Linked DNA regions of Lonchura striata. The protein of the gene in region 4 interacts with the protein of the main gene of each other region in a pairwise test. Links are inferred from orthologs where the notes say so. Each region holds a gene or a part of one and is shown on either strand. Other genes may lie near its edges.

Region 1 (7,701 bases), on a different chromosome or scaffold from region 4:
AGCTGTTCCTGGTTCCCTGCAAAGGACAGAACTCTGCAGCCAGGGAACCACTGGGAGCTACTCTGAAGCAAAAAGCATTTTGTAGTCTCTCTGGGCAGCCAGGTGTTCTGTGCATCATTCCCCAAGGATGTGCAGTACTAAAAGCTCTCACAGTTGAATCTGTAGATTATTTAGATGTTAATTAACAGACAACAATAAGATTGGTAAGGGGGAGGAGCTGGAAAGAGGTAGAATTGTTTCATTTTGTAATTGCACTTTTCCCCTGATAAGACTTTTGTCAAGCACACAGAACAATGTGGTTCAACTGGTACCTGACCTCAGCAGGCTACTAGAAACAGTCTGTGAGTGCTTCAGTTATGGTCACCTGTCAGATAACAGCACACTGAAGGTAACAACAGCTCTGCTATCAATTAATTCACCAAAGCACTGAATTCCCATAGGTCTGTTGTCCACAGCACTCCATGAGGTCTGCTACAATTAAATTCCACTGTGGTTCTCTGGCTTTCACACACCAAGGACATTCAGGTCTTCCTCAACCACATCAACATCTCAGCCCTCTTTAAGATGATGCTCTGCAGCCACTGTGCTCTGCTTATTTATTCATTTTTGCAGGCTTGGCTTTACAAAGCCCTGCTGAGCCTGATTCCTGAGGAGTTTCAGAGCCTGCTGCAGCCTTCACACCTGTCTGACAACATCACTTGTTGCTGGCCAGTTCCTTACTCATCCCTCAGCTCTTCCAGAGTCATCCTCCCTTGCTTCCCCCTCTTGGATTTCACCAAAGCAGCCAATCAGCACAAGACAGGAAATTTGGCTCAGCTGATCTCTGCTCACCCAGCAGCCTCTGGGAGCTGCTGTCCAGGATCACTTTGCATTTCCTTACTACTCCCACCTCCAGTTACTCTTTCCCTGAGAGCACACGAGGCCTGCAGGCTCTGGGGCTCAGACTGCAGCCCTGCAGAGCCCTTTCCAGGCTGTTCTTGAAGAAATGCATTTGCTGTGTTCCCTAATCACATCAAACACCTTAGCCCAGCCTGAGGCCTAGGAGGTTCTTCTAAAGGCTTCACAGGCCTTCACTTCTCCTTCCTCCAGGAGAGCTTCATTTTTCTTTTTAAATCAAAGCTACCTAACACACTACCTTCACTTTCTGACTTTCCTCACCAGCTCTCCAGTCACATCCACGTTGTCCTGGTTATCATTCTGCTGGTTTCACATCCTGCTTCATTAAGTTACTCCATTTTGCTTCCTGCATTTATACATGCACACTTCAATTCTCCCTAACCACACCCCAGCAGCAGAGCTGAACTAATCACTGCCTACCCGTCCTCATCAGCTCGAGCACCTTCTGCCATGTCCCTCCCCACAGCCACCCCTTATCCACTTGTATTTCCTCACTTATCCTACTCTTCTCTTCCTACAGAACACTCCAACCTGTTGCATGTCTGTTCCCAGCAGGAGAACCAAGGTCCAGAGGTAAATTTGGGACAGAATATAGAAAACCAGAAGAGTTTTCTGTCATTCCAATAAATCAGAACACTCTGGAGTCACCACCTAGGAAAACACAAGTCACAGACGTTTTAGGTAAATATTAACTAAGAGCTACCTCCTGTTTCAGGAAGATTCAGCAAAATGAGAATCAATCTTAATCAGGTTTCATTAGATGCCCAGAAGTGAGCAGGTAATTTTAAAGTATTATTTACATTTTACATCCCAGTAACTCCAGTAGAACAGGTTTGTTTCCAAACTGCTGTCCTTCATAAGAACTCCTCATTTTTTTGTTACTCATAAAATGGAAAAGAGAACTTCTTCCTTGCACTCAGACTTACGACATTTTTAAATCCCTACAGGAAGCTAGCAAATTCCTTTATAAACCACATTAAATTGTGACATTTAGTAATTAAGCTGCCCAAGGTATTTTCTTCCCATCAGCAAGTACTGCCCAAGCACAAGGGCTCTGCAGTCCAAACCAGGACAGGAATCAATCCCAGGCAATACACTCCACAGGATAACACCTGTAAAAGATGTGACTTGGGATTTAGGACACAGCCACCCTGAGGAATCCTGTTCACTAAGGGGCTCTGTCACCTCTGAAAAACATCCCAACACAGATCCACCCTGTTTTAAAGCAAAAGCCACAGCGAGTAACCTCCAGAGGCACTCCAGTGCAGACACCCACCTTTCTCTGGCTTTACTGCCACGATAATTCAGCACAACTCCAATTCAAGACAAAGCTACCAACAGATGTTGTGGATACTTCGTGTGCTGCAAACAGGCAATAAACAATTGGAAAGGAAATAATTTCGCTCTCTTTAGCCTCAATAAGCTTTGACAAAAAAAAAAAAAAAAAACAGTCTAGAATACTTTCGCTGCTTTCTCAAATAGGAAGTGGCTTTTCCCTCAACCCTCAAAGTTATTTTTCTGTCAAAGTTCATGACGGCACAGGTCAATAGAACAATTAAAAGCAGAGATAACGCTGCACATCGGCCACATACACGGCACAATACACACATACACACCCTCCGTGCAACTGCAACAGCTCGTAAGGGGGAGATACAGAACACACATATAAAAATATCGCCGGTGTTGCTGGCGGCGGTGCCGAGGAGCGCTGGGAGGCGGCGGTGCCACAGAGCCAAGCGGCCTAGTCCTGCCCGCAGCCTCCCCCCGCTCAGCCCGGCCGCCCCTTCCCCTCGCTGCCGGCCCCGGGCCCGCCGGGCCGCGCCTCGGGGCGGCCCCGGGACGGAGCGCGGCCGACCGGGACCCGCCCCGGCCCGCGGAGCCGCGGCGCGGGGCCTGGCGCTGCAGCGGCCCGGCCGGGCGGGCCGTGCCGGCGCGCCGTACCTGTGCTCGGGGCTCAGGGAGCGGTGCAGCGCGGCCGTGCGGGCGGTGCCCGGTGCCCCCGCGGGCTGTGTGGCTCGGCTCGCTCCGGGCTCGCTGCGCTGCCTCAGACGCGGCTCCGCTGCGCCCCCATCACCCCCGCAGCCAAGATGGCGGCGCCCCTCGCACGGGGTTTCCCCTCCCACTCTCGACGGGCGCCGGGGCCGCACAAAGAGTGGGCGCGAGGGCGCCGCGGCGCAGCCAATCACGGCGGCCGCTGCGCGGCGGGGCGGGAGCGCGCGCGGGGCGGGGCCGCGCGGGGCGGGGCGGGCGCGCGCGCCCTCAGGCGGCGGCGGCGGCGCCTCAGGGCGGAGCGGGGCCGCCGGCGCCGCGGAAAATCCCGGATTTCCGCGCTGTTCTCCGGGAAAACGGCACGGAAGCCAACAGCGACCCGCCCGGAACCCCCAGCTCGCGGGGCAATGGTGAGAATGCACGGCCCGGCGCGGCGCAGGTACGGGGATGTCGCGCCCTGAGGGGCTCCGGAGGTCCCCGTCTGTCTCCAGGAGCAGCGCCCGGTGCTTGGCAACGTCCCGTGAAATGCTCGAAGGTGTTCATTTGGCCTTTGAATAATTTAAATCAGCTTTTTAAACACTCGTGGCATGCGAACCTCAAGACCTAAAAGCGCAACGTACTGCCCAAATCTCACAGTTCACGGGATTTAAAAAATAAATCAGCGGTTCGGGAGGTGTAAAAGTATATCAATAAATTTCCCCAATAAGGATTTTGTTTCAATTCCAAACATTACAGCAAATATCAGATTCTGCTGTGGGTCACTGTCCAAGATTTAAATTTCAGCTTCCCCACTGCCATAACATTTCTATGGAACTATTTTCACATGGGCATTTTCCATCTCCATTACTGTGACATTACTAATTCCATTTCCTTAGTTGAGCAACAGCCAGGGAATCCTCTGCTTTCCATGAATCAGCCACCCCCTAATTATTACTCAACCTCTGCCAGGGAGAAACTGCATGGTAGATAACACTCCCTGTTATCTGGGCAGAAACTTCATAGAGTAAAAAGCACTGAAGAAAAACAATTAGAATTCTTTTCCCCTTTATCTACATGCTAAACAAATCTCTGAGTGATAAAAAGCAAAGATTCAACAGAAAAATACAAAATCTGCTGGCAATGTAGTAAAGATGTAGGACTCCTGTCACTTATTGTCAGGGTTCTAACTTCAAAACTGTGCAACAGAACCCTTTTCAAGTTTTGCAGAACCTTATATGGAGTGACTTTTGCTAGAAAAATAGGTCAAAACGAGCCAGTGAGAATGATTTCCACGAGAGGGAGTCTTTAAACGGAAAATGACCTGACTGTTGTGACACAATTGCAGTCTGGTTTACTGACTTGAGAAAAGCACACTTCCCTGGTACTGTCCCAGATATTATTCTGTTAACACAGGCACTGCAATGAGAGGTTTTCTAATTCAGAATCGTTCAGATATCACACACCAAAATACATTGAGGATTTCTCTATCTATGGCTCAGTGTTGGTAGCGTCAGGCAGGCAGGGTGAGTTTGCGTGTTTTTACAAGAGGGAATCATACAGGTAATTATTGCTGTCATCCATGGGAAGGGCAGTGGGGGCACAGCCTGCCCGGGGTGGGAGTGGCTGGTTGGAGCTGCAGCTTCTTTTCCAGGGGGAATTGCAGCCAGCCCTCTCCCCCAGGCAGGCACAGGCTCCTCGGGTTTGCGCCTCTCCAGTCACAGGGTGGCACTTCCCCCTGCAGAGCCCACGGAGACACCTCAGGATTACTCAACAACTCGGAAAATCCCTTTAATCTGGAGCCTGGTTTATTTAATTGTGAACAGAAATGAGAAGCGGTTTGGGGATAGAATTATTTTGTTTCTTACCTGCAACAAAATGAAAAGCCATTATCTAAATGTGAGCAAGATTTAGCTTTTAAACGGAAATTCCCAAATATATTTTATCTAAAACTGCCTTCCTTTCTGAGGTGATGTAAAAGGCAATACAGATTTGCTTCAAAGCTCCTGCTTTTATATGCTCTGCTCAAATATTCCTACAAAGTTTAAAGTTAACAGAAGACATGAGCGAGGAGGATGGAGTAACAGCATCTGCATTTCTTTGGTTCTTTATTCTTGTGAGTGCTTGAAAGCCTGCAGCAGTTTTTCAACAACAGTTATTGAGAAAAGGCTGACTTCAGCCCATTCATTGTGAACATCTGGACAGAACCTAACAACAGTAATTAAAACCCACTAAATTGGTAACAATACCAAATTGCCAGGGATGGAATCCTCCTCTGTGGTCCCACCCTTCCCTGTGGATTTCTGCTGGGTCAGTCCACTCTTGAAAAGCCTTTTCCACGTGTCTCTTTCTGTCAAGAGGGAGCAGCATCCAAATTTTCTGGTCACATGAGCCTTGCTCTTGGGTTTATTTCTGTACCACAAACTCCAGGAAAAGTAAAGACTGAGTTAATGCAGTTGGTAGAAGGCTTGAGGATTTTCTTCTTTGCAAATAAACTACACAGAGTGATCTGTAGGATCAGCTTCCTTCTTTAGAATGCATCCTTGTAAGAAAATAAACCTAAATATAATTAAATTACACATCAGCTTTCATTAAGAGTGTGGGATTGAATGGAATTTTTGTCTGCAACACTCTTTTCCCTAAGGACAGCAGTAAGCAGGCCAGACTGTCAGAATTTAAACTGTCAGGCCACAAACAGGCAATAAAAAGTCAGGTTTCTCTGTCTGTCATCTTCCCCCGAACCCCAGCTTCATCTTCTGGCTTTGCTCAAGTTTCTCTAGACAGAGAGAGGGGAGAAACACAAGATTTTTCAGGAACTAGTTTGAAATGCACGTCTGTGGGAGTCGATCACGTAACGCTGGATTGGTCACAGATGACTAACTGGTCTTTACTTGTATTTTATTTTTGAGTTGCCCAGTTCTCCTTTCATCTCTTACCATTTCAGTTTTGTGGTGTCTGTAGAAATATTCCTGTGGTCAAGGTTTTTTTTTTAGTTCCTTCTTTATCTTTTTTAGTTCCTTCATCTCATGTAAAACAGGCAGTCCAAGCCCATTGGCACTTGTACAGCCTCAAAGCTTCAAATTAAATTGATTAATAATAGAAGAACATTTGGGCCAATGGTAATTCTGGTGTCAGTAGATGCAGCTCAGCTGGATTCTCTCTGTCAATATTTTGTGGGAATGGCAGTATGGAATTGAAGTGTACCCCTTTCCACAGGAACTTCAACATTAATATTGAGGAATACTTCCAAATACATACAGCAGCGAGCTCCCTTGATGGGTCAGTGCTCACCATGACTCCTTCTATCCTGACTGAAGCTAAATCTGAGCTTTACTGACTTCATTTGGCTTATTTTGGAGTTCACCTTTCAACTCTGATCCCTTGAGCGTAATCCTCAAGCATTCATACTTCGATGGGTCCTTAGCAAGTAGCTTATATTTTAGCACAAAACCAAACTGTAGCAATAGAAATGCCTGCAAAATACCAGCATCTGCTTTTCAAAGGCATGCAAGTGCTGTGGTTTCCTGGCTGACAGGACAACATGCCCAGAGACCAGATCCTGGCAGTGGTGAAAGGCTTTGTGAGTCAATCATCTTGCACAAGGCAGGAATTGATCCACACAGAGCTGCTTCTGGACAGAAAGCAACCTCTGGAGCTGACAGCAACAACCTGGAGGGGTTTGTGCCCCACCTCAAGGTGTCTCCTTGCTGAAGGACTTTGCAGTGCCACAGCACAAGGCTCCCTAAAAACTTTTCTGTCCTTCTCATCAATCACAGTGATTTCTGACACCAAGAGACTCTTGGTTCTGCTCTGTGTGGTTCCAGATCTCACTCTCTGCACTGAGAGGTTACTTCTTGGAAAGAAACTCCCTCTAATGCTTCAGCATGCCAAGGTCACTTTTCTATCCTCAACAGCACAAGGGTAGCTGCATTTCCAGCTGAATAGTGGAAACAGGGACCTAAAATTTCCATGGAAACATTGCAATTTAACAGCACTTAAAGTAATTGAACACAGTGTTTTCAAAGGGCTAAGTCATTTTGCATTAATCATATTTGAGGGACAGGTGAAGAATTTTTGGTTTAGCTATGTAATGATGTTACAAATGCATGATAGGATGTGAACATGATGCAGAACATCAAGTAGATGAGTTACTGTGTGATTGTGCAGTGTCAGTGCCTCTGTAAAGGATGTTCCCGATTTAATGAAAGGTTTGGTTATGCACAGCTCTCCCAGACTTCAGAATCAAATTGGCAGATGGTTCTTAGCCCACCTAAAATGTTCTGGTTAATAATGTTCTCATACACAAAAGCGTAACAAAAAACTTCTTCAGTTATAGGCATGACAGAGGAGAAATACCCACCACTGGCTTTGTGAATAACCATGTCTTTGTTCCACACAATTCCAGCAGCAACTGGGGGCATTGTTGGTGGCATAGAAACCATTTTTGTGAGAACCCACTGCAGGGTGGCACTGTCTCGGTACAGTGCTCCTCTCAAGAGCACAAGACAGTTCTCCGATTACATGATGGAGAGAGTGAAAGAAAACAACAGCTGGCTGTGGCCTGCCTGCCTGGCTTAGATTTACCACTACTCACTGGTAGTGTTGAGGAAAAACTCCATAAAAAAGGCAAGGAGTTAGAAATTTCTATTGTTTCTGAGTGCGGTTGGAGATGTCTGACTCGCTCTCAGATGTGTTTTTACATACAATGTTTCACAGAAAATGCTTCCTGCTAAATTGCTCTGAAGGATCATGTTCCTTTCTCAAACTTCAAACACAACAACCACGGGAGGGATGACTGTGCTCTGTGTGATATTCCCAAGCACATGAGCCATAAGGTCC
Region 2 (8,145 bases), on a different chromosome or scaffold from region 4:
ATAGCACTTAAAGATTTGTTGAAATAAAGAAAAATCAGAAAAAAATGAAGGATTCTAACACTGAAGAGTTCTTCAAGGAGTTTCTCTTTAAGGCATTAAGCATATTAAAGACTTTCATTTGAGTAGCTGTAATTGAATTTTACCTCTTATTCACATTTTCCAGAATTGCCCTACATGTTGTAACAGACACGTTGTCTCTTCCTCCACCCTCGTTAAGGAAATTACAAAGTACTTAAGCTGGAATATTTCAATGTACAGATCATTCTTTAAAACAAATCCAGATACTACTAAAATCCAAAACATACATGATGTGTAAGTTATACTTTTGTTATCAGCTTTTTAATACTGACAATAAAGAAAGAGATTGAACTGCCAGCCTCTATTTGACAACCACAATATCTAAAATAAACATGAAAAATTCATAAAGACCTGAAAAACGTGTTACTCTGCTCTGAAAAGTCCAGCTCCTAAAAGAGATGATGAGGATGCAAACACAGACCTTGAACAAACTGTTAAATTTCACTGACTGCCTGACTTGGTGTGAATTTGCTTGTTCAGCACAGGATTTGAGCCTCCTGTTTATAAACACTCTGAACTCAATTCAGTCAACAATTCAGCAAACATCCACACTGAAAGGTAACACTGCTTCTTGGGCGTGCCCCTCATTTCACCTATAGTGTGATAGAAAGATGAAATCCTGATATAAATGTGATATTTCATTTGCCATTAGTCAGGTCCACTTTCTAAAGATCCAGAAGAGCTATAAATTGGTTTCCAAGGGGAACCACACGTTCTATTTCACCTGTTAGCAAAGGCAGAAGGGCTGGCTGAACCAGTCCAGTTTGATCTGGGCCAACCAGGGAAGAACAGAAAGTCAGTTTGACTGTCTGAGGCAAGGTGTCAAAAGGCATGTGAACAAATAAACAAAACCATCTCTATGTGTTATGTAAATAATCAACATCATCAATCATTTACTAATGACACAAGATCAGACCACAGAGGCAACAACTCCAGATGAAAAAGTAGAGGGAGAACAGTTAAGACAAAGCAATATTAGTTGCTATGGTTAAACCTGTACTTTCTACTTTAAATGACATAGGATCCAAGTTAACAATCACAATAGCTCTTAAAGGCCTGGAAAAAAAAACAGGGGCTGCTGTTATTTACCTTGAGAAGGGTTTACTTTTCTTGCTGTTGCCCAGAATGGTTGTCCCTGCTGGTCCCAGTTTGGCACTTTCCCGTAACCAGTTGGCAGGAGGCAGCTTCAGGTCTGTTTTCTCCTGCAGACGGGCAAAGGCTGCTTGAGGAGGGGCTGAGGAGTATTTCACCACAGCACAGCTCTTCACCTCATTGCCTCCGAGGAACAGCACCGAGCCCTGATTTCCAGAGAGAAATTAGCCTTCTACTTAAGTGTTGGCAATTAAAACTATCAGGCTTGTTCTGTAATAAGTTATTTTTAAGGCTAAGTGAGCAAAATCCAGTCCTATATTCACTTACCTTTCCCCAGCACATACAGTTTTCCAGTTATTCCAATTCATGTCAAGCATAAGCTTCACTTTAGGAATTATCACAGAATCACTTAGGTTGGAAAAGACCTCCAAGATTATCAAGTCCAATCTGTGATGAACCACCGCACTGTCACCCAGACCAGAGCACTGATCAACACATCCAGTCTTTCCTTGGACACCTCCAGGGATGGGGACTCCACCACTGCCCCAGACAGCCCGTTCCAACGCTTGACAACCATTTATTTCCATGAAAGAATTCTTCCTGCCCACCCTGCCCCTGTCCCAGCCTGGGGCCGTTCCCTCTGCTCCTGTCCCTGTTCCTGGAGCAGAGCCCGACCCCCCGGCTGTCCCCTCCTGGCAGGAACTGTGCAGAGCCACAAGGTCCCCCTGATCCCCCTTTGTTCCAGGCTGAGCCCCCTCAGATCCCTCAGGAGTTCCCAGCCCCTTCCCAAATCCCTCAGGAGTTCCCAGCCCCTTCCCAAATCCCTCAGGAGTTCCCAGCCCCTTCCCAGCTCCCTCAGGAGTTTCCCAGCCCCTTCCCAGCTCCCTCAGGAGTTCCCAGCCCCCTCCCAGATCCCTCAGGACCTCTCCAGCCCCTTCCCAGCTCCCTCAGGAGTTCCCAGCCCCTTCCCAAATCCCTCAGGAGTTCCCCAGCCCCTTCCCAGCTCCCTCAGGAGTTCCCAGCCCCTTCCCAAATCCCTCAGGAGTTCCCCAGCCCCTTCCCAGCTCCCTCAGGAGTTCCCAGCCCCTTCCCAAATCCCTCAGGAGTTCCCAGCCCCTTCCCAGCTCCATTCCCTGCGCACACTCCAGCCCCTCATTGTCTTTCCTGACCTAACAGCGCCAGAATCAATCCCAGAATTTGAGGCTGGACCTCGGCAGTGCCCAGCACAGGGGGACACCCCTTGCCCTGGTCCTGTGCCACACTGTGGCTGATCCAAGCAGGTGACAGTGGCCTCCCTGCCCACCTGGGCACTCTGAGAATGAAGTGTCACCAACGTCAGCTGCCACACCACACAAAATAACTCAGAAAGGCTAAAACAAACACATCTCCCACTAAAGTTTGTGAAAGTAGGTGTATATTAACACTAATATTAAAGCTAAACAGGCTTCTACCTTACTATTATTAAATAATAATAAATTAAACAAGCTTCGTGTTTGCCTACTTCTTTTCAAACACGCAGCTGTCACCCGTGTGCGAGGAGCTTTGAACTAACACAAGTCAAGGGAAAAACAGCTCCACAGGACACCACTTACGTAAATACGCTGCACTTAGGCATAACAACAGCAACACTGCTCGCAATTAACGCTTAATCATAATTAGCGTGTTCCCTACAGCACTCCGGCCCTGACAAACTGGAAAGAGGACCAAAAACACCGCTTCAATTAAAACACCCCCAGGGGCCGTGTCTGTAGCCGCCGCTCGACCCCCTCACAGCCCCTCTACCTCACCCAGCACGGCCGCCCCTCAGCGCCGCCCACCTGCTTGGGCTCCTCGGCGTCTCCCCTCAGCGGGGCAGGGGTGCCCGCGCCGCAGGGCTCCTCCATGGTCCGGGAATGGGGCGGGAATGGGGCGGGAATGGTCCGGGAAGGGGCAGCGGGAGCGGAGCCGCTGCCCGGGGGGTCCGGCCGGGAGCCGCCGCCTCTCGCGAGACTTTTCGAGAAGGCGCGGGAAGGGCGGGCTCTGAGGGCGGCGCCGTGAGGGGCGGGCGGTGCCGCCGTGAGGGGCGGGCTCTGAGGGCGGCGCCGTGAGGGGCGGGCTCTGAGGGCGGCGCCGTGAGGGGCGGGCGGTGCCGCCGTGAGGGGCGGGCGGGAGGCGGCGCCGTGAGGGGCGGGCGGTGCCGCCGTGAGGGGCGGGCGGGAGGCGGCGTTCCCAGCGGGCTCGGAAGGTGGTTGATGTGGGAAAAACCTCGTCAATTACATCAAAGCGAGGAGTGTCAGGTCCAGTCGTTCCTTAAGCACCTCCAGGAATGGGGCTCCACTACCGCCCTTCCAATTCTTGGCCACCCTTTCCATGAATAAATTTTCGCTAATTTCCAATCTAGACCTCCCCTGGCGCAGTTCGAGGCCCTTCACAGGTGAGCCAGAAAGTCCCCCCCGAGCCTCCTTTTCTCCAGGCTTGACTTTCCTGGATAACTGGGACCTTAATGAAACAAGTGAAAACTTGGTGGTGGGGTATCTCAGCATGGGAGAGGATTGAAAATTGCAGTACACTGTACACTGAGTTCAACAAAAAGCTGAGCTGTGATGGCTTCAGTAAGTAAGTAATTCCTAAATAGTGCACATGGCATTTTTAATACCTATTATTTTCCTTGTAGATGGCATTCTTCATTCTCTAAACCACGAGAGGCAGTATGCTTCATGACTGGTCAGGGAGTACAAATGCTGACTTCCTCTTAAGTTATATCTGTATCTATAGCCACATGTGCCTTAATATATATATATATATACATATATATATATATATATATATATATATATATATATATATATATATACAGACATATATATACACACACACACACACACACACACATATATATATATATATATATATATATATATGTATATATACGGATATAGATCATGGAATTACAGCATGGTTTGGGCTGGAAGGGCAGGGACACCTTTCCCTGTCCCAGGCTGCTCCAAGCACTGTCCAGCCTGGCCTTGGACACCTCCAGGCATCCAGGGGCAGCCACAGTGTTAAAAATAGGTTAGAAACTATTGTAAAATGGTTGATATTTGTTAAGCATGTACTATTAGTTTGGTTATGGTAAAAGGGGTTAAAAGGGTAGTTATAAGAAATATGGTACTCAACGTACCATAATACACCTAAATAAAGTGCACCACCCCAGCCTGGACAGAACTGTGATGGGCCAATCAAGTGGCTTAAACCTTCATGCAAATTAAGGATCCAAAAAGAAACCAATCCAAAGGGACAAAAAACAGGATAAAAAGGGTATCTGCTCCACTGAATTTGTGCTGCTCCACCTGAAACGTCGGGGACATCGCTGCTGAGCAGACCAGTGCTGGCACCGCAGCATCCTCGACGGGATCGCTCCTGCTCAGCCCGTGGACCCCCTTGCTTCAGGCCTTTCTTTTTATTATAATAAATGCTGAAATCGCTTTCAGTACCGGGAGTGTGCTCCCGTTTTTAACAACAGCTTCTCTGGGCACCCTGTGCCAGGGCCCCACCACCCTCTCAGGGAACAATTCCTGCCTAATATCCAATCTAAACCTAGTCTCTGTTAGTTTGAAGTCAAAAAGGACACAAGTGTCATCTTTACAGTCTGTCAAGGCCAAGGAGGCAATGTCTTGGTTTGTGCTACACTGGCCAAGTGTGCTGCAGTTAAATAGTTGGGATGTTTCCAAGCCACCGCTAAAACTCAAAAGCAAAAAAAAATTCCTTAACACGCAGCCAGGTTTTCTGTAGATATTGGGTGTGTGTTCAATTAAGATGTGTGTATGTGGAAAGTCATTTTCAAAAGAGCAGGAAGTTGCATCTTAAAATTCTATCTCTAACGTCCTTCGGGTTTTCCTCAAAACCAGCTCTCCTTCCCCCACCCATTCCTATTCAGGCTGTGAAGTGTCACTGAAGTGATTGTGCAGAATTGATTTGTTTTCAACATTCAATCCTCTGACGAGCTGTTATTTCCCTCTTCCTTGCAGCACACGAGCGGGAGCGGCGCTGCCCGGCGTTTTTGGTTGTGTGGATCTCAGTGAAACACCGGGGCGGCTCTGAGGTCACAGGGGAGGGTTCCACACCCTGCCCGCTCCATGAGCAGGTCTCCAGGGAACCGCGGTGGCGCCGGGAGAGTGACCGGGAGCGGCAGTGACATCGAGCCATGGCCGAGGACAAGATTCAGCACAGCGCAGGGCACAGTAGCGACTGGGTAAGGGCCAAGCAGGTGCCCCCGTGTCCTCCGCAGGGCTTCTTGATCCTTAAATTCTCAAAAAAGCACCATGCTAAGGGTGACTTTGTCCTTTACTCAGAAATAAGTCTTCCTGTTCCTGAGGTTTAAAAGGAAAGAGTGTCCTCTGTCTTTAGTGTGCAAAAGTTCTGGCTTGTTAAGTAACCCTGGCTGGATTTCCACACCGCACCCCCCACCCACCCACCCCGTTTTCCAGCAATTCTGTGGGTCTCTTATTTGATAGTTAGTCCTGGTTGTTTTTCCTTCTCTTCTGGAGAACTGGTCAAGGCTTGCCTCAGTTCTTGCCTCCAGGAGAACACTGATCCCATCAGAAACGCTGGGCTGGGACATCTTGGCATCCCAGGGCACTGTAACACTCCTGGCACAGTCTGTTCCTCACTCTGAACCCTTTTGCCTGATACTGGGTTGAGCTGTTCCCAAAAATTTTGTGCTTTCAAACTTGCACTACAGTAGGAGTAGCATGGGGGATTGGAAGGTCGTTGTTTTCCTCGGTGGTTATTGCTGTGTAAACACTTTTCAGAAAGTTCCTGGATAGTCTTGTCTTAAAGAGTCCTAAAATTCTTGTCTGGTTATTTTATCTACGTTTGAAGGTCTTTATGGTAAGGTTTGCGTTGTGGGTGTGCGAGGCTCCTCATTTGTCCAGACGCCGCTAGGTGCTGCTGCAATCCAAGTAATAAAAAGTGAATGGGACAGTATCATTTTGACCACATTTCTGGTCAGATTTATTTGTTATTTAGGTTTTGTTGTTTGTTGTTTTTGTTTGGTTTTTTTTTTTTTTTTAGTTGGCTTTTATTTTAAAGGGCCATAATCCTCATTATTTTCTAGTTCTCTCACGATGTACTGGAGGTGGGCGAGCTGGAATCAACAACAAGCGCTTCACTAAAGCATGTCCTGAATTCCGTAGCCGCTGTGGGCCAGGAACACAGAATGCCGCTGGAATACAAAGCTCGGGTGCAGGTGAGTTCCTGCGGCAGCACAGCCGATTTTCGGAGCTCTTTTGCAAGTTGTCACTCGCCAAGTTGTGAGTAAGAACAGCACTCAGGGTCGTAAGCGGAGCAGTCACAGCGGGCTGGCAGACTTTGTGCCTCAGGGGATGGAGTGATTGCTGCCTGTGCTGTGGAAGAAACATATTTCCCTGTTACTCACTCATAATTTTAGTTGCTCAGAGTCCTGCTGTATTACTGCTGATTTTCTCTTATTATTGAGACACCGAATACATTATGATCAATCTCAGCCCACAGCCTGTGTGTAAAGCCCTGTAAGAAGGTTTAATGGAAATTTGATCAGCTGTTTGGCAATGGATGTTGGAAATTCATTATATTCACACAAAGGAGTGTTCTTTTTATAATTAAAAAGTTAGACGCTTCTGATTTCAAACATTTTTAAGGCTTCATTAAAAATGAGATTTGTGAAAAATTTTGGGATGAAAGGAATTACAGTATTTTAAAAAATACTGTATTTAAAACATTACAGTGTTGTAAGCACCTTTTCATGTCCTTATTTTATCATCACACTGAGCTTTGCTTTACCCACCTGCTTTAGGAACAGAACATTTTTTATTTTCATTTTCTATAAGCACAGCAATTGCAGTGGGTTCATGTCACTGGTTTTGCCATAGTGAAGGGCAGAAATTAAGGGCTTGGAAGGAATATTTAAATGGGAATCTTGGGGCTACGAAAAGGAGATTATTCTGTAACAGGAGTATACACTGTGTTAATATTACATCTACCTTCCTGTGGAACATCTGGCCTTAGCCACTGCCTGAAAAGGAGAACCAGGGTAAAGGGACCTTTTATTAACACCAGTGTGACTTCATCTGAAGTTGCATGTCTTATCTTTACCAGCCCTCCACTTTTATATAGAGTTAGGGAAATTCTTGCCTGTTGTAAATTGAGAATTAATCTGAGATCAATGGTGAGAACACAAAGATCCACTAAAGGCTAAAATGGCACAGTCTGAGGAAGTTTGTTTAGGCACTGGTAATAAACACTATTCCTGAAATGTTGACATTGACATTTAGTTTCAGTAGGATATTTTAGGAAGAAATTTACAGACTCAGGAGGTGCTTATTTTTAAATACATGTGTGAGAATGTATTTATTGAATTGACTTATTCCCTGAACTACAGTCTGGATGAATCAGTATGAGACAAGAGAACTGGTGAATATACCTAAAAAAAGGAAGAGAATCTGCCTACTAAACCAAATAACCTGAGATCTGACCGTGCAGCTGACCCTGTGCAGGCACATTTTGTGTCTGGTGAATCTTGCTGGATCAGGCCTCCAGTCACATTGATCCTTAGAACTCACTCAGGTTCCCCTACTCTTGACACACCTCTTTTACACTGTGTTACATTAAAACTTGCTGTTTTGCTTATCACGGTTGGGATATTGCACTGATATATAACAAACATTTAAAGAGTCAGATATGTTATTTTTTTTCTAAAATAGCTCTTTTCGAGTTGTCTTTTGTTTCTTCTGAAACTCTAGTTTCATTTAGAGACTGAATGAACATCATGTTAAAGAATGAGATTATAAATTAGTTAAGCAATTAATACCTCTTCAACTTCCCCTGCAACAAGCAGTGTCCATGACATTCAGTTCATAAATCACAGGCTAATTCAGTTTTGAGGTCCCTTTTGTAGTTTATTTTAATTAGCTTTAGGCCTACTACTAAATCAAGCAAAGGAGTCCTGACACATTTCTA
Region 3 (7,923 bases), on a different chromosome or scaffold from region 4:
AAATCCAAAGGTTGCTTTGCATTTATTTATTACGGGTAAGCAACTTTCTGTCAGGCTGTCTTTACCATAAAAACATGTATATTTTGCATTGGGAAGCAAGCTAAAACATGCATGTTTTGTTATATGGCAATTATCTACAGAAAGGCCATTACATTTCAGAAAACTTGAGTTAAAAGAGTTTTCCTATGAATAAGAGATCTGTTTCAAATGTTAAATGTCAAACTTCTAAAAGAAAGACCCTTTTCTCCCCAAAGCAGCAGGAAAACCTTCTTTCTAAACCCAGTCTCAAAATTCATGGAGTTGTCTTGTATTCTTGTTTGGTTTGGTTTTGGCCCTTTGTACGGGAAATAAATTGAACACATAAGAATTGAATAGATATTGAATTGAACACAAATAATTGAACAGAGAAGAAAGCTAAGAACAGAAGATACACAACTGTTGTAATAGATTTACAGGAGTGAAAATATGAATTGTAAGCAAAAGTTAGTGTCAAGGCTGAGAAGCTGCAGAACTTTGTTTGAAAACAGGGAAGAGACAAGAATCTCAATAATGGACAGAACAAGTTTTGAAAAGTGAGTGAACAGAAAACCTTCAGAGAAGACAGAATTTGACATGGATGAAGAAACTAAAGGAGGTAAAAAAGCCCAGGAGACATGAAATTAACAGCAGTGGCCAATGGAAAGGCTCTTTATTCCCTATGGATTGAGAAAACTAATGAAAAAAATAACCCCCTCTTTCAACAGAAAGAGAAGTTAAAGCCTCACAGCAAAGTTAAAATAAAATAAAAGACAGACAGCAAAATGACATTGTGAAGAAAAACACCAACACAAGCACCAACCAGTTTCCTGAGCCTATATGTGTGGGATAAAAAGCTTGAGGTTACATAATTAGAATGGGTCATAATTCAGGTGACAAGAAAAATCTAATTAATTATTTAAGGATTTACAAGCTACAGGGATTCCAGGAGGGGAATACAGTGACCCCTAGTCTCAGTCACCAGGAGGAAACTGACCTAATACTTCTCCTATCCTCCATGGCCATTGTGACAGCTGGTCAGCAACAAACCACTCTTTGTTAGGACAGTGAGCATATTAAATCTAGAGAGTTTATCAAGCGCTGGAGATCCATAATTTAATCACATGGTACTGCTAACTTTGATCTGTCAATGGGACTGCTACATTGGTGGACAGGATACTGCAAAATTAGCTACTCTCTACTGTTACGGTCAGAGATTGAAGAGCTATTAGTTAAACCTTATGCTATAACTTAGATTTTATTCTTCTGTGTTCTCTAGAACTTGACACTCTCCAGCCTTCTAGCTTTGAAATTTTTGTAGCCTATGTGTGCATAAGAACAAACACGGAAACTCCAAAAGGTAATAAACCAAACAAGAATTAAACAAATAACAGGACCAGCCCACAGCTACAAAGCTTCAAGGGCTTGTTTTCTCAGATACCAAAATAATATGAAAGTATCAACAGCTCCAGTGGGCTTACTATCCCTATTCTACATCACAAGAACAATGCAAAAAATACTTCAATGTTCTGATTTAAGATACCAATCATCTGTTTGGCTTACCTAGCATTACAGCATGAAAGGAGGAGCACCAATGAAATGCTGTCATATCTGGTTTTCTACCAACTCTTTCTCAGAGACCACCATAAGCATAGCCAAAGTGATTCCAGTTCTAGATCACAGGAGTACAGAGCAGGAAGAATTTGTTTAAACTCAAATCTAGGTGGACAAAGCACACCCCTCTGGTTTCTATATGTAACTTCTACATGTTTCTAGAACAGATGGACAAAAGAAGCAGGGTTTGGGTATCTTAATGTTGGCACTTGAAGGGCTTTTTGCCCTTTAGTTCTGTGCATTTGCTGTACACTGAAGCAATGACCATTAGGACACAACATCAAACACTGATGACTAAAGTATTGAAAATAAAATTACACAGTAGAAACAATCAGGTCACTTGGCCTACTCCTGATGGACATCCCAGCCTCCAAAACAATTTCCAGAATGGTTGTGTCCAATTTTGCTTTGATTACTCAATTATCCTCCACTCAATTCTGATCCTACTCTCGCAGACTATGAATGTGAACCTACCACATGGCTTTAGAGTATGTTCATATGTACAACAGCATCTTTATACTGGAAAATATTATAAAACAGTATGGTATGGATACGGTAGAAAAGAAATATAGTCAAAGCAGAGATTCAAGTAAAATTATAAAGAAAATAAATTAATACTATTCAGTTGCTTCTCATCTCCTCCACCTAGCCAGCAATACCAGCTCTGCTCGCCTCTTTGACTCCTCACTTCTCTTTGATGCTTCCCGGCGACACTGGACACACCCAGTCAGTGCCTGCACTCCGACTTACTCCATCAGATGTTTTCCTAACAGTGGAAGTCAGACACCCATGCCAGCACAGGGACATACGAACATACCGACTGGTTTTTCCCCCCTCAACTCACTCCCAGAGTTAACTGTTTCTGACGCCTGCACGTCTACGACAACAGGACCGAAACCTTAACCTGACCCGCAGAAGCACCCGCCGTCCCCAAGTGAAGGAGGGGGCAGCTTCTCCCGGCGAGTTTCCTGCTGGACGCCCGGAGCAGCGAGCGGCGCCCGAGCCGCTCCCTGCTCACCCCGAGGGACGGCTCGGAGCGCTGCTGCCGGCCCGGCCGGGACCCCGGGCGGGGCAGGCGCTGCGGGCTGAGGGCAGCGGCGGGCAGGGGGCCCGGCCCGAGCCCGGGGAGCCCTCACGTCACACCGGCTCCGTCCCCGCTCCTCAGGAGGCGCTGCCCGGCCCCGGGCCCGCTCCCCCGGAGGGGAGGAGGGAGAGGGGGTCCCTCACCCCGCTCCCGGATCCTACCGTAGGTCTCGGACATGGCACTCTGCGACATCCCGGGAGGGGTGACCCCCGCCGCCGCTGGCTCGCTGCCCGCCCCGGCCGGGCTCGGCGCTGACGGCGGAGGGAACCCAACAGGCCCCGCCGCCCGGGCCCGGCTCGGCTCAGCCCCGCCCCGCCCCGCGCCGCCGCGCAGGCGCGCCCGGGCCCCGCGCGCGCCCCGCCTCTCCCCCGCGCGCGCGGGGCGGCTCGCGGCCGCGGCCCCGCCCCCCGCGGGCCCCGCCCCCAAACAAGGCGCACGTGCCCGGCCGCCCCCGCCCGCTGCCCTCGCGGGGCCGGCGGCCGCTGCGGCGCGCCCCCCGCGCGGGCAGGCCGGACCCGTGCGCGGCACCGCGCACAGCGGGGCACAGCGGGGCACAGCGGGGCACACCGGGGCACAGCGGGGCACAGCGGGGCACAGCGGGGCACACCGGGGCACAGCGGGGCACACCGGAGCACAGCGGGGCACACAGCGGGGCACACAGCGGGGCACAGCGGGGCACAGCGGGGCACACAGCGGGGCACAGCGGGGCACAGCGGGGCACACACCGGGGCACACCGGGGCACAGCGGGGCACACAGCGGGGCACACACCGGGGCACAGCGGGGCACACCGGGGCACACCGGGGCACACAGCGGGCCACACAGCGGGGCACACCGGGGCACAGCGGGGCACAGCGGGGCACAGCGGGGCACACCGCGGGGCACAGCGGGGCACAGCGGGGCACACAGCGGGGCACACACCGGGGCACACACCGGGGCACAGCGGGGCACACACCGGGGCACACAGTGGGGCACACACCGGGGCGCAGCGGGGCACAGCGAGGCACACACCGGGGCACACACCGGGGCACACACCGGGGCGCAGCGGGACACAGCGGGGCACAGCGGGGCGCACACCGGGGCACACCGGGGCACACCCCGGGGCACACACCGAGGCACAGCGGGGCACAGCGGGGCACACAGCGGGGCACACACCGGGGCGCAGCGGGGCACAGCGGGGCACAGCGGGGCACACCCCGGAGCACACCGCCCGTTGTTCCAGCTCCTGCCAGGCAGGGCAGCCGGGCGGTGGCCCACGAAAGGCTGGCTCCCCGCTCACAGAAACGTTTTGCTGTTTTTACATTTTAACAAACAAAGGCGTCAGCATTCCTTGGTTACAATTTACATCACTTTTCTTTGAATTAGTTCTCAACCCCTATTATCTCGTTCCACTCCTTTCTCACGGTAAGTAGCCCGCAGGCTCAGTTCTGCTCTGCTGCCGAGGCTGGGGTCGGTTGTGAGGAGGTGGTCAGGGAGTCGGCGGTCGTGGTCTCCCGGTGCCGGAATTACCTTTCCCCCAGGTCCTGCTCAGTCCTGCCGACTGCACTCCTGCCGGCTGTCGTCTAGACAGCCCATTCATCCTGGCATTGCTTTCCCTTTTCCTCATTACAAAAGAGTAGCCGAGCATACAATGTTCACGGTGCCATTGCTTAATCGTAACTGTGCAGCTATAGCTACTGATAACAACAAAAAAAGTTGCAAAGTTTAGTTCAAATCTTCAGGGGCTCGATACCAGCAGTGCCTGGCCTGTATTACTCTTTTCTGCATGTCTTAACTCCCCGGGTTAGTCTGGCAGCAAAGAGCACCTCAGCTCCCACCACAACAGCCTTTCTATCTATGTGATTCCTAAATTATATTTCCTGTCTGTCCTCCACGTTTTCCTTTCTTCCAGTCCTTAAAAAATTTCCTCTACTCTTATTTCTTCTTCTGTTATTTTTGTGGTTTTGCTCACAGTTTCCCATCCTTTCCACTTCTCCTTCATCTCCTAAGCTGTAGGAAAAACTGCCTCTGCCTGTTCCAGCCACCTCCTTGCCAAGTCCTTAGCTGGTCAGAAGTCAGCTTTTAAGTTCCCATCTCTAATCAGTGGAACAACATGAGCTGAGCCAGCACCAAGAGCCCCTCAGAGAATCTGCTGATTATTCTTCTTGTTGTGGGTACAAACAGACAAAGAAACTCACCACAGTTTTCAAAGAACCAGCTCCTTAATGAATTCATACTATTAACAGTAATTGGAGGTTGTATAAACAGGTCCCCAAAGTCAGCACAGCCCTGATGTACAGAGGATATTGAGGCCTAAGATGTCACATGTGAATGTTTCTCTGGGCATCTGCTCTCCAAAATGCCATGGAAAGCTGAAGAGCCTTCACATGAGCTGAACAGACCCCAGTATGTCACAGATGTGAGCTTTGTGTCTGAAAGCTGTCCCCCAAAATGGTACATTCTGAGGCTCAGATTGGGATTTAAAGAAGTTTGGTCTAACATCAGCAAATTCCTGATAGATGCTGGTTATTTTTGCTCAACCCCCCTCCCTGTCCCCACCCTCAGAAAAACAAACCAACCAACCAAACAAACAAACAAAAAAAACCCCCAAAAACACAAAACCCAAATGGAATGTCTTAACCAAAGGAAATCCCCAAACATGCTGAAGTAAACAGATTTTACTAGATTACTAAAAATGTCATGTTACATCCATGTTATATGAGAGAACAAGGAGATTTAGACCTCATGCACTGTATAAACTTTAGGTTAAGGGATAAATTAGTCATGTTTTTTTATTTTGTGTATCTTGCAAGGTGACTTTGTTTTATGGAGTTTTTTTGATGTGTAATTGTGTTAATACCACAATCCTTTGCTTCCAATCACTCCTGAGAATTTTATATGCACCCATCAATAAAACACATCAAAATCGTAAAGGTTTCCATAAAAGCTATTAGTTTAGCTGCCGCGCTCCCGCCCCGGTTCCCTTTTCCTCCGCCCCGGCTAGCTCTCAGTCTGGGGCGAGAGTGGGAGATTGAGGCACCCTCCGCCGCTCCCAGCTGGGGTTTGGAGAGTGCCTTTGTGGGTCCCGGGCAGCGCTAGCAAGCCTCGCGGTGGTAAATGAAGAGCGGATCCTGCTGGAGGCTAAGTCCGAGTTTATTGTAGCCCAACGGGGCCAAATATCCTAGAATGGTGCCAGCCAACAGGAACAAGCACAAGGTGCTTGCACTGGCTTATAAACTGTAAGGGAGGGGTATCCAACGACCAATGGGGATAGGGATAGGGGGTGGCTCCGGGATGGGGGGATATGATGGGGTCCAATGGGGGAAGGATATGGGGGGAGCCCCAGGTCCTCACCCAATCACCCGGTGCCCAAGGTGGAAGCTTCTGGATGGATGGGAAGGGACACCGAGTGACAGACAAGGCACCAGGGAGGGGTAAAATGCCTCTTTCAGGGTGATGGATAGATACTGGAAAGGCGGGAAGGGAGGACAAGACGGGAAAACTGGGGATAAACCAAGTTGCACGCGGGGGTACAAAGGAATAAACCAATACATAATACAGGGATAATAAAACATACAAATAACGCAACTCCACATTTAATATTAAAGAGGAAAGTGAAGGCTGGGAGAATGTTAAAGCAAACACAGGAGAACATGAGAGATGAATAGGATTTGGTATTTTAGAAATTTTGCCTTGAAGACTAAATTAGAACAAATAGTAAAATTCAGAAATAATAAAGACTGCACTAGGCTAGAAAATATATAGCTGATACCTCAGTAACTTGAGAATGTCAGGCCTGTATATTAATAAAATCATTCTTCCTGAGTAATAAACAATGAGTAGGTAGAATTGGCCTTGTCAGTGTCTATCTTAAGTATAAAGGTGAAAAAAACCCCAATGCCAAATGTTTAATTCACATGATTTCTGTTGATCACATCTGCTAGAAAATTTTGGTTTATGCAAAAAGAGATGTGTTATGTCAAATTGGATGTGTACATCATGCACTATCTCAAATTTTTTCACCACAGTTACTGTGCCTTTAACTGGTTACAGTTGTAAAATTGCTGCTTAGGAGGTCATATTAAGTTTCCCCTGAAAGTTCTAATCTCATTTTTTACTAGTTTCTACTGACCAGTGTACCATAATAGGAATGGAAGAGGACCCACAAGATCTCATGGGAGCCAGACTCAGGATGTGTGAGGTCTCTGCCAAAATAAAATAATATGACTCGGGGATTTACAGATTTCGACACAGCTTTTAATGACCTAGCACTGCAAGGGGGCAGATCCGTTTGTTTTCTTTTGCTTTTCCTTTCCTTTTTTTTTAATGCAAGGTAACAAAGTTCAGTTTGTAACTGAAGCATGGCTGTGTTTTTGATTCACCGTCACCGTAGGCTGTTGGTCTCAGATTCAGTCAAAGAGAGAAACAGAGAGTTTCTAACCAGGCAGAAGCCTGGGCATCTATTGGAAAAGAATGTAAATAAGATTCTTTATCTCTCTTGTTGTTCACATTGTTTATAGTTAAATTCTACCACTGTGCATCATGCACTCTGCACCAATGGTGTGCGTTGTTTTCACTTCAGGACCAATGGAATTGGTCTGGATGAAGCTCTCTATAAAGAGCGATGCATTTTGAAATAAATCAGAGTTTTACTCTCGCCTTCTGAGCGGAGTCATCTCATTCCCGTCCTGCCTCAACAGCGTCATAGGCGGCAGTCCGGGACTGGAGAGCAGCTGCGGATGGGATGGGCTTTTCCTCGAGGGAGCGGCAGGGATGCCTCGCTCTGGTCTGAAGGTGGCACCACAAGGCTGTGTGGAAGGCACTGCAGCGGCCGGACGCTGCTGTTGTCTCTGTTAGTTGCGGCTGTGTGGCTCGCAGTCCAACCTGGCATGCTCAGGTAAAACGGGGATGATGTATTCTGCTGCTCTTCACTGTTGCTTGCATGCCGAATATGGAAAGCAACCCAGCATATGTAAGAGCCGCTTGATCTGAAGCAGCAATGAATGCGACTCCAGCAACCCAAATGAAATCTGAAGACGAGTGATTGAGGAACCTCTGAGATTGCTGTGACTGCCTTGTAGGCAGTGTCCTTGCCAGCTGAAAACAACTGGGGTCATCTGAACATGGTCATCTTCAGCTTCCACTGGAGCTGCCCTCAATCTGTGAACACTTTTGTCAATGTGAGCATGTGCAGCTCACACATAAGAACTACTAGCACTGAAATCGGCGCTAG
Region 4 (7,619 bases):
AAGTCCTTCCTGATACACAACGTGAAATTTCCTTTACAAGAATCCTCTTCATCAAAAGCCACAATGCCACGTTTCATGCCAAGTGTAAATTCCCTCCTTATGCCATCTTGAGATCTAAAAGTTTGGAACACTTTTGTAATTTAATTACAGGTGAAATGAGTCATTCAGTGCAGTAACATTCCATTCAGGGGAGGCTTCCAGCTTCCCAATTACCTCAGGGCTCTTTGCAGGACTTCTCCTTTATATGAAAATCCCCAATTTTTCCTCTGAAGATCCTGTAATTTAGCTGAGGTACCACTCTGGTTACAAGGATGCTAAAGCCAAGTATGGAAGAACCCTGAATAAAGGGTTTACTAACACTCTGTGTGTGCAGATAACATTTTCTACATTTCTCCCTTTCCCAGATGTTCATACTAAAAGATAATTCACCAACACACATATAATGGCTTTAAATATTTTTTCATTTTTGTAAAACAACACTCATAAAGTTTTTCTGCAAGCCTCTTCCCCTAAGGAAATCTGATGTAGATGCCTCAGAACCCAAAACAATATTATAATGCCAATCTTTCTCCACCCCATCATGCCTCTATATACCTCTAAATATTCCTTGAGTTCATGTGTACACAAACCTGTACCTCCTTTCCTGGAAAATACCTGATTTTTCAAGAATACTTACACAGGAGACCTGTCCTTCAGTTTTTAAATCATATAAATAGTGTTTTATATTATTTAAGAAATATTAACTGCAGTGGCTATTATGTGCAGGATCAACAGAGAAATAAAATGAGCTTCCCTTTTCAATTTTCTACAGAGGGTGTGCTAGAAATAATCTACTCGATTTATATAGAATAAATGAAGTTCAACAGTATCTTTCTAAGACATGATTTTCCAGGTTCCACTGCAGATCCAAAACTTCTTACTTTAGTTTGTATCTTCCATACACGTTTGCTTTTTTAAATGCTATCTTGATAACAGGGTTCCTCATAGCTGACAGCCTAACTCCTATTTTAAGTCCCCTATCCTGGTCTGCAGAAATTGCTGAAAATCAGCTATTACAAATGTCATTTGCAAGTCCTTTGCCTGTTATCAGATGAGCCCCAACAGTCAATTTCTCCAGCTTTGAACTTCCCTCTGGCTCCAGAGGAATTAATGTGATCCCATCCATTCAGCCAATACTCCTGATTTAATAAGAGATATGCCTGAAGTGGGTCATAACCTGGTTTGATCTGGTGTTTACAAATGAAGCTACACTGGACACAGCCAGTTTAAAAACCAGTTTAGAAGCATCCACTGTTAAATTATGCTTTAAGTTATGTGAGGGAGAATTCAGTCCATGTTATGCCCATTTTCAACACAGATCCTGCTGCACAAGTTCCCATATCTGTACTGAAATATACTTAAAACACACACTCATGAAAATATGGTAATCAAATTCCATCCTCAGCAGACAGCTAAGGGCTACTCCCATAACAAGCAGATTTTTATGTTTTTATATAAGGCAAAAATTTCAAACTAACCAAGTAGGCAACATTAAATTAGCGGACATCAACAAAAACTCTCTTGCCTTTGGAGTGAAAGTGAACTGAAAGTGGGAGAGACAGAAATACTGGATTCCATGTTGGAAAGGCATAATTTCTAGCCCCAATCTCCAGGCAAAAGTCTCACCTAATTTGCAATTTTATCTTTATTGCTATTGCAAAATGGAAAAAGCTGTTGCACGACCCAAATCAGCCAAAACACAGTTTTCTTTCCATATTCAAATCACCTCACACTCAACACCCCACAAAGAATAGAATGGCACTGTCATCATGTTGAGAAATCAAGGGGCTCCTAGAGTGGTGTAGGGAGGGTACAAAACCTGGCATCCAGCCACAGGAACACAGTATTTTAGTCCTGCTATTTTTTAAAGCTATGCAAACCAAAAGATGTGAGTCATAACACTCGTGTGCCATCACAATGATTCACAAACTCAAATGCACACAGTGCATTTACATGAACCCCAGAGATGGGTTCTTCCAGAGAAAATGGAAGACCCTTTCCTGAAGGCTGGGCAATGTGAGTCCCAATAATAACCCACCAGAAAAACAAACAGTTCTTGAGTGACTTGGAGAGCAAATACAGGACACCTGGGGATGACACCATGACACAGGGGTGAAGAGGAAGTGGGGACACCACACTTTCTGTTTAACACAGGCCACATCACAAGAGTTCATGGTCCAGGCCAGAAGCTGAAGCCACAGAATCACAGAAGGGTTTGGGTTGGAAGAGACCTCAAAGATCATCTTGTTCCAACCCCCTGCCATGGGCAGGGACACCTTCCACTATCCAAACCCCATCCAACCTGGCCCTGAGCACTGCCAGGGACAGGGCAGCCACAGCTTCTCTGTGCCAGGGCCTCAACACCCTCACAGTCGAGAGTGGTAGTATTCTAATATCCAGCCTTTCAGCTTGAAGCCATTCCCCCTGTCCTGTCACTACACATTTCTGTAAGAATTCCCCCTCCATCCCTTTGGCAGGCTCCCTTCAGGAGGGAGACGATCCTCGTGCATCCCTTCCAACTTAGGGCATTCCGCAATCCCACGGGAAGAATCTGACAGACTCCTGCTATTCCCGTCCTGCTCCTGCGTGGCCTTGGCCGAGCTATTCCCCTTCCTCGCCTCGAGTAAAGGGAGGGCAAACTCTTTATTCCTTTATTCCGCTCCATCCCCGCCGTTCCCACCGCGCCGGGGCCGGGCAAGGCAGCGCGGGGCCGGGCCCGGCGTGGCCGTGCGGCAGCGAGGCGCTGCAGCGGGGCCGGGAGGGCACCGCGCCCCGCGGGGCGGCACCGCGGCTCCCCAGCCCCGCGCACCGCCCGCCCTGCCCCGCCGACAGCCCGCCGCGTCCCCTCGGCGAGCCGGCCCCCCGCCCGCGGGGCCCGCACCCACCTCGAAGAGCTCGGCCGTGGTGGCCATGGCCGCAGGGAGGGAGGGAGGGAAAGGGAAAGAGAGGGAAGGAGGGCGGCGGCCCCTCAGCGCCCCGTGGCCGCCGCCGCCCCGCCGCTGCCGCCCATTGTGTCCCCCCGCCCCGGCAGCAGCAGCGGCGGCCGCGGCGCCGCCTCCGCCCGCCGGAAATGGCGCCGCGCCGGGCGGCCACGGCGCGGCCGCGGCTCCTCCCCGGCCGCCATCGGCACCGCCGGCATCGCTGCCACCATCGCCGCCACCATCGCTGCCACCATCGCCGCCACCGGCACCGCCACCGGCATGGCCCTGCGGGCGCTGTGGCTCCTCAGGCGCGGCCGGCGGCGCCGTGCTCTTCTCCAGGTAGCGACGGTACCGCGGGCACGGCGAGCTGGGCAGTCCGAGGGTCGGGCTGGGGAGTCCCGGTGATCTGGAAGGGATCCAGGTGCTCTGAGGGATCCGAGTGCCCTGGAGGGAAGGGTGTTCTTGAGGGGAGCGGATGCTCTGGGGGGTCCGGGTGCTCTGGAGGGAGGCGGGCGCTCTGGGGAGAGCAGATGCCCTCAGGGGGCGCGGATGTTCCTGAGGGGGGTCTGGGAGTCTGGAAGCTCTGAAGAAAATCCTGATATCCTGGGGGGATCGGGTGTTCTGGGGGTCTGGAAGCCCTGAAGAAAATCCTGATATCTTGGGGGGATCGGGTGTTCTGGGGATCTGGAAGCTCTGAAGAAAATCCTGATATCCTGGGGGGATCGGGTGTTCTGGGGGTCTGGAAGCCCTGAAGAAAATCCTGATATCCTGGGGGGATCGGGTGCTCTGGGGGTCTGGAAGCCCTGAAGAAAATCCTGATGTCCCGGGGGGATCGGGTGCTCTGGGGGTCTGGATGTTCTGAAGGAAATCCCGGTGCCCTGCGGGTTTAGGGTGCTCTGGATGCCCTGAAGGAAATCCTGGTGTCCTGCGGGGATCAGATGCTCTGGGGGTCTGGATGTCTTGAAGGAAATCTTGGTGCCCGGGGGGATTGGGTGCTCTGGGGGTCTGGATGCCCTGAAGGAAATCCTGGTGTCCTGGGGGGATCGGGTGCTCTGGATGTCTGCAGAAAATCCTGGTTCCCTGGAGGGATTGAGTGTTCTGGGGGTCTGGAGGAAATCCTGGTGCCCTGGGGGGATTGGGTGCTCTGGGGGTCTGGATGCCCTGAAGGAAATCCTGGTGTCCTGCGGGGATCAGATGCTCTGGGGGTCTGGATGCCCTGAAGGAAATCCTGGTGTCCTGGGGGGATCGGGTGCTCTGGGGCTCTGCAGAAAATTCTGGTGTCCTGGGGGGATTGGGTGCTCTGGGGGTCTGGGTGTCCTGGGGGGACACTGCTGCCCTGTGGGTCTAGGATGCTGCCCCCAAAACGGATGCAAAAACCACCAAAACCATCTGATACTGAATAAATTCCTCGTCTCGTGCCAGCGCCGCTGGATGCTGTGCATTTCTGACTCCAATTTTAGAAAGTTCAGAATCAGAGTCACATAATGTGCTTTTAACTAAATATGGGAGCTTTTTCACAGCTTCTGCATTTTGCATGAGTTTCCTTGCTCCGTTCCTCTTTCTTTTTTGTCACTGTAAACATTTTGCCCAGCTCTTCTCCTTCCTAACATGGTAAAGGACAAGGCAGTGATTGTGAAATACTGTCAGATTAACAAAAATGGGCAAAACAGATATATAAGCATATATTATTGCTTGTATTTTCCTTATATTTTTTTCATGTTGCTCTGTAGCTGTAGGTAAAATAGAGTACTTTCAGACAGAAATTCAGCTTTCTGTTTGATGCTAATTTGTGCATATAAACACTTTTTTAAAAAGTTATTGGGGGATTTTTAAGTTATTGAATACTAAAGAGTTCTCCAAAGGAACAGTTTTTATACAGAATTCTTGCAGATATAAAGGAAGACTTTTGGCTTAGCGGGTTACTGTTATTGGGCTGGCAAGATTTGTTACCCTTTTTGTTACTCTTCTTCTGTGACTTCAGAGAAAGCCAGATAATGAGAAGAAAAATAACTGGGGCTAGGGAAAGTTTGTGGGGAAAAAAAAAAAAAAGTCCTGGATAAAGTGACCTACAGTCCTAGTCTGAATTTAGTAAAAGCAAAGAGAGAACTTAGGAGTAAAAATAAAAAAAACAACTATCTTCCATCTTCAGGTGCAGACAGATCTCTCCATTGGACACTCCTCTGATTGTTTTAGGATTAGTATTATGGTCCTTGTATTACCTACAGGACTAGAGATGAGGCCTCCCCTCTACAAACACAGATAAAGAGAAAGCCTTGTCCCCAAAACCTCGGAGAGTGTAATCACCACGGAGCAGGGGGGGCTGCTGACAGGGGTGTCTGAAGTGACTTGTCACACAGTGAGCGGCAGAGACAAGGAGTAGCACTCCTTTGAAAAGGGCAAACTATCCTCGATGCTTCAAGTGATTTCCAGACTTAGATCTTTCAAGTTCCCAGAGGAAATAATAGGGCTGTGGAAGCCCCAAGTTTATCCTCCTAACTGACCTTAAATTCAACAAAGCACGCAGACAATATAAAGAATGCCCGGATCACATGGAAACTGTTGGTTTCAGGACTTAGGCACTCAGCTGGAGATACGTGAGCCCTGATCTTTGACCTCAGGGAAGACATCGGGGACATCAAAGCATTCCCCCTCTTTTTTTTTTTTTTTTTAGCTGATCATAACTTAATTCAGGCAACAAGGATGGTCTCCCTCTTGAGTCACCGAAGTTCATTCATCCTTGGAAACTTTTGTCTTTTTTATTTTTTTAAGTTTGCATCACTTTCTAGAAGGGAATACTGAAAAACGGGGATTTGAAGGGCTAACTAATGATCTAATGACTTCAGTGGGAGGAGGAGGCTGCTGTGGTGTGGGGACAGCTTCAGCAAATGCAGCAGAGAGACTGGGACTTGACTAAGACAAAACCAGACTGAAATATCTCCTCTTCCCTTGTTTTGGAAACGTTGGCCAAAAAGAAGAGCTGCTCACCAAGGTTGCACATAACCTCTTATCAACACCCTGGCTCTGCAAAGCCTCATAAATTTTATAGCTGTAAACCCACTTGGTTTCTTTGCTCTTCACAATAAAATGTGGGACCACAGGGAGGTGTTTTGCTGTCATCTGTATCCTGTTTACGAATTTTGTCGCTGTGGCTTTGCCCTGTCTATGTTTAGACAAAAATAAAAAAAACAACCCCAAAAGCCCTTGATGCCTGATTAGGAATGAAAGAAAAAAAAATCACAGTCACGGTAAATAAGCCTGAGGAAGTGTAGTTGCCTCCAGCTACTCAGTTAAGAGAAAATGATGTAGAGCACTTAGAGGCAAGAGGATAAGATCCATGGAAGTGCTCAGGAGCAGGAGGGAAGTGCTGCAGATGGAGGTCATAGATAAAACAAAGTCCCACGTTGCTGGGATTGCAAGTTCCATGGCAGTTTGGAAAGCAGGCTGTCAATGTGTCCTAAAAAAGACGGTATAAAAGGGACAGCAAATGAGAGCCTTTATATATCTGTGCAGTTTTTTTCTTCCATGTTGGCATGCAAGCCTGGGTCTGAGTGCAAACAAACATCTGAGAACATCTGCTTCAAGATGATCCATAAAGTGATTTAATTTTGTGTGTGTGACCTGTGAGGGGCACTTTGAGGGTCTGTGGATAACTACTGAGGGAATCCACAAAACAGAATGTAGGAAAGCCAGGCTGTCAGCAAACTTCATGTAAGAGACACTCAGGGGAGTCTGCAGTTCCAAACCAGGGCACAACCAGTGCAGTCATGGAAGTAATATTTTTTTATTTTCTCAGCTATTTATTAAAAGTCAACTCCTTAGTTCCTCCTTAGGCTACCTTGAAAAGAAATTCATCCCACTCCCCTTTAAACAACAATACTGCAGGACATAAAAATCCCAGATATAGTTTTAAACAGTTAATATGATATTCCTCAAATATTATCTCTAGAAAATTTGAAATTAAATATATGTATTGGTACAACATAGCAATTCTAAGTTGTACAAAACCTCTGTCCATGACATTATTGTTACATCTTAAATACTTGATAAAATGAAATTATGAAAAAGTCATAAAAGCTTTAAGTCACATATATTGTATGTGCAGTGTGGAGTTATTATTGTTATAGCAGCAAAGCTGTAGCACTATCTACATATAGTAGACTCTATATCTAGGCAAAAAGCTGTTGTAGTTGCATTTTGTTACATAGAACATAAATTTTCTTAAATATCTGAGAACTTGTCTTCAGTGTGATGTCACCTCTTAGAAATATTTTGAAGTTCTGCACTGGTGGGAGTCATACAAAAATCCTGTACCCTTGTGTGACAGCATAGATGGACATATTCACACTTAGTTTAAAAAGTAGGTATTTACTCATGAGAATGTATTTACTTGCTGGAAAGAATCCTAACTACTCATGGAATGGTTTTATTGACCGTGATTCATGTTCCGATCCCACCACTGCTTCTATCAGGTTGCTGCAGGCTTCCACGTACACGAGCTTATTTGTAGGCCCGGTGGGTTTTGAGGAGTTGTTTGAACAATGAAGAGAAACCCAATATCAGTACTCCCAAGATATTTATCATGCTTTTGCAGCCAGAAGAGGGCTTGGGTGCTTGTGTCCCTGGACGCTGTGGTTTGGGGTGATGTTTTGGGTGGCACTG

The links.
Region 1: the proteins of EXOC5 (region 4) and RAB14 interact in binary tests that used the Homo sapiens proteins (3 or more experiments, as listed by UniProt). The two-hybrid records come from large-scale screens. The link is inferred for Lonchura striata from reciprocal best matches to the Homo sapiens genes EXOC5 and RAB14.
Region 2: the proteins of EXOC5 (region 4) and EDRF1 interact in binary tests that used the Homo sapiens proteins (3 or more experiments, as listed by UniProt). The two-hybrid records come from large-scale screens. The link is inferred for Lonchura striata from reciprocal best matches to the Homo sapiens genes EXOC5 and EDRF1.
Region 3: the proteins of EXOC5 (region 4) and RAB4A interact in binary tests that used the Homo sapiens proteins (3 or more experiments, as listed by UniProt). The two-hybrid records come from large-scale screens. The link is inferred for Lonchura striata from reciprocal best matches to the Homo sapiens genes EXOC5 and RAB4A.

Annotation. Positions count from the first base shown.
Region 1 is NC_134624.1:9,483,460-9,491,160, forward strand, and holds the start of RAB14 (ras-related protein Rab-14), read right to left. Parts: upstream 3,028-7,701; 5' UTR 2,839-3,027; intron 1-2,838.
Region 2 is NC_134609.1:29,692,418-29,700,562, reverse strand, and holds the start of EDRF1 (erythroid differentiation-related factor 1), read right to left. Parts: upstream 3,149-8,145; 5' UTR 3,054-3,148; coding exon 2,988-3,053; intron 1,377-2,987; coding exon 1,168-1,376; intron 1-1,167. Other genes in the region: TEX36 (testis-expressed protein 36), read left to right, coding at 5,354-5,401, 6,266-6,397. UniProt on the Homo sapiens protein: Transcription factor involved in erythroid differentiation. Involved in transcriptional activation of the globin gene.
Region 3 is NC_134605.1:43,369,770-43,377,692, forward strand, and holds the start of RAB4A (ras-related protein Rab-4A), read right to left. Parts: upstream 3,021-7,923; 5' UTR 2,906-3,020; coding exon 2,875-2,905; intron 1-2,874. UniProt on the Homo sapiens protein: The small GTPases Rab are key regulators of intracellular membrane trafficking, from the formation of transport vesicles to their fusion with membranes.
Region 4 is NC_134608.1:4,354,868-4,362,486, forward strand, and holds the start of EXOC5 (exocyst complex component 5), read right to left. Parts: upstream 3,076-7,619; 5' UTR 2,952-3,075; coding exon 2,925-2,951; intron 1-2,924. UniProt on the Homo sapiens protein: Component of the exocyst complex involved in the docking of exocytic vesicles with fusion sites on the plasma membrane.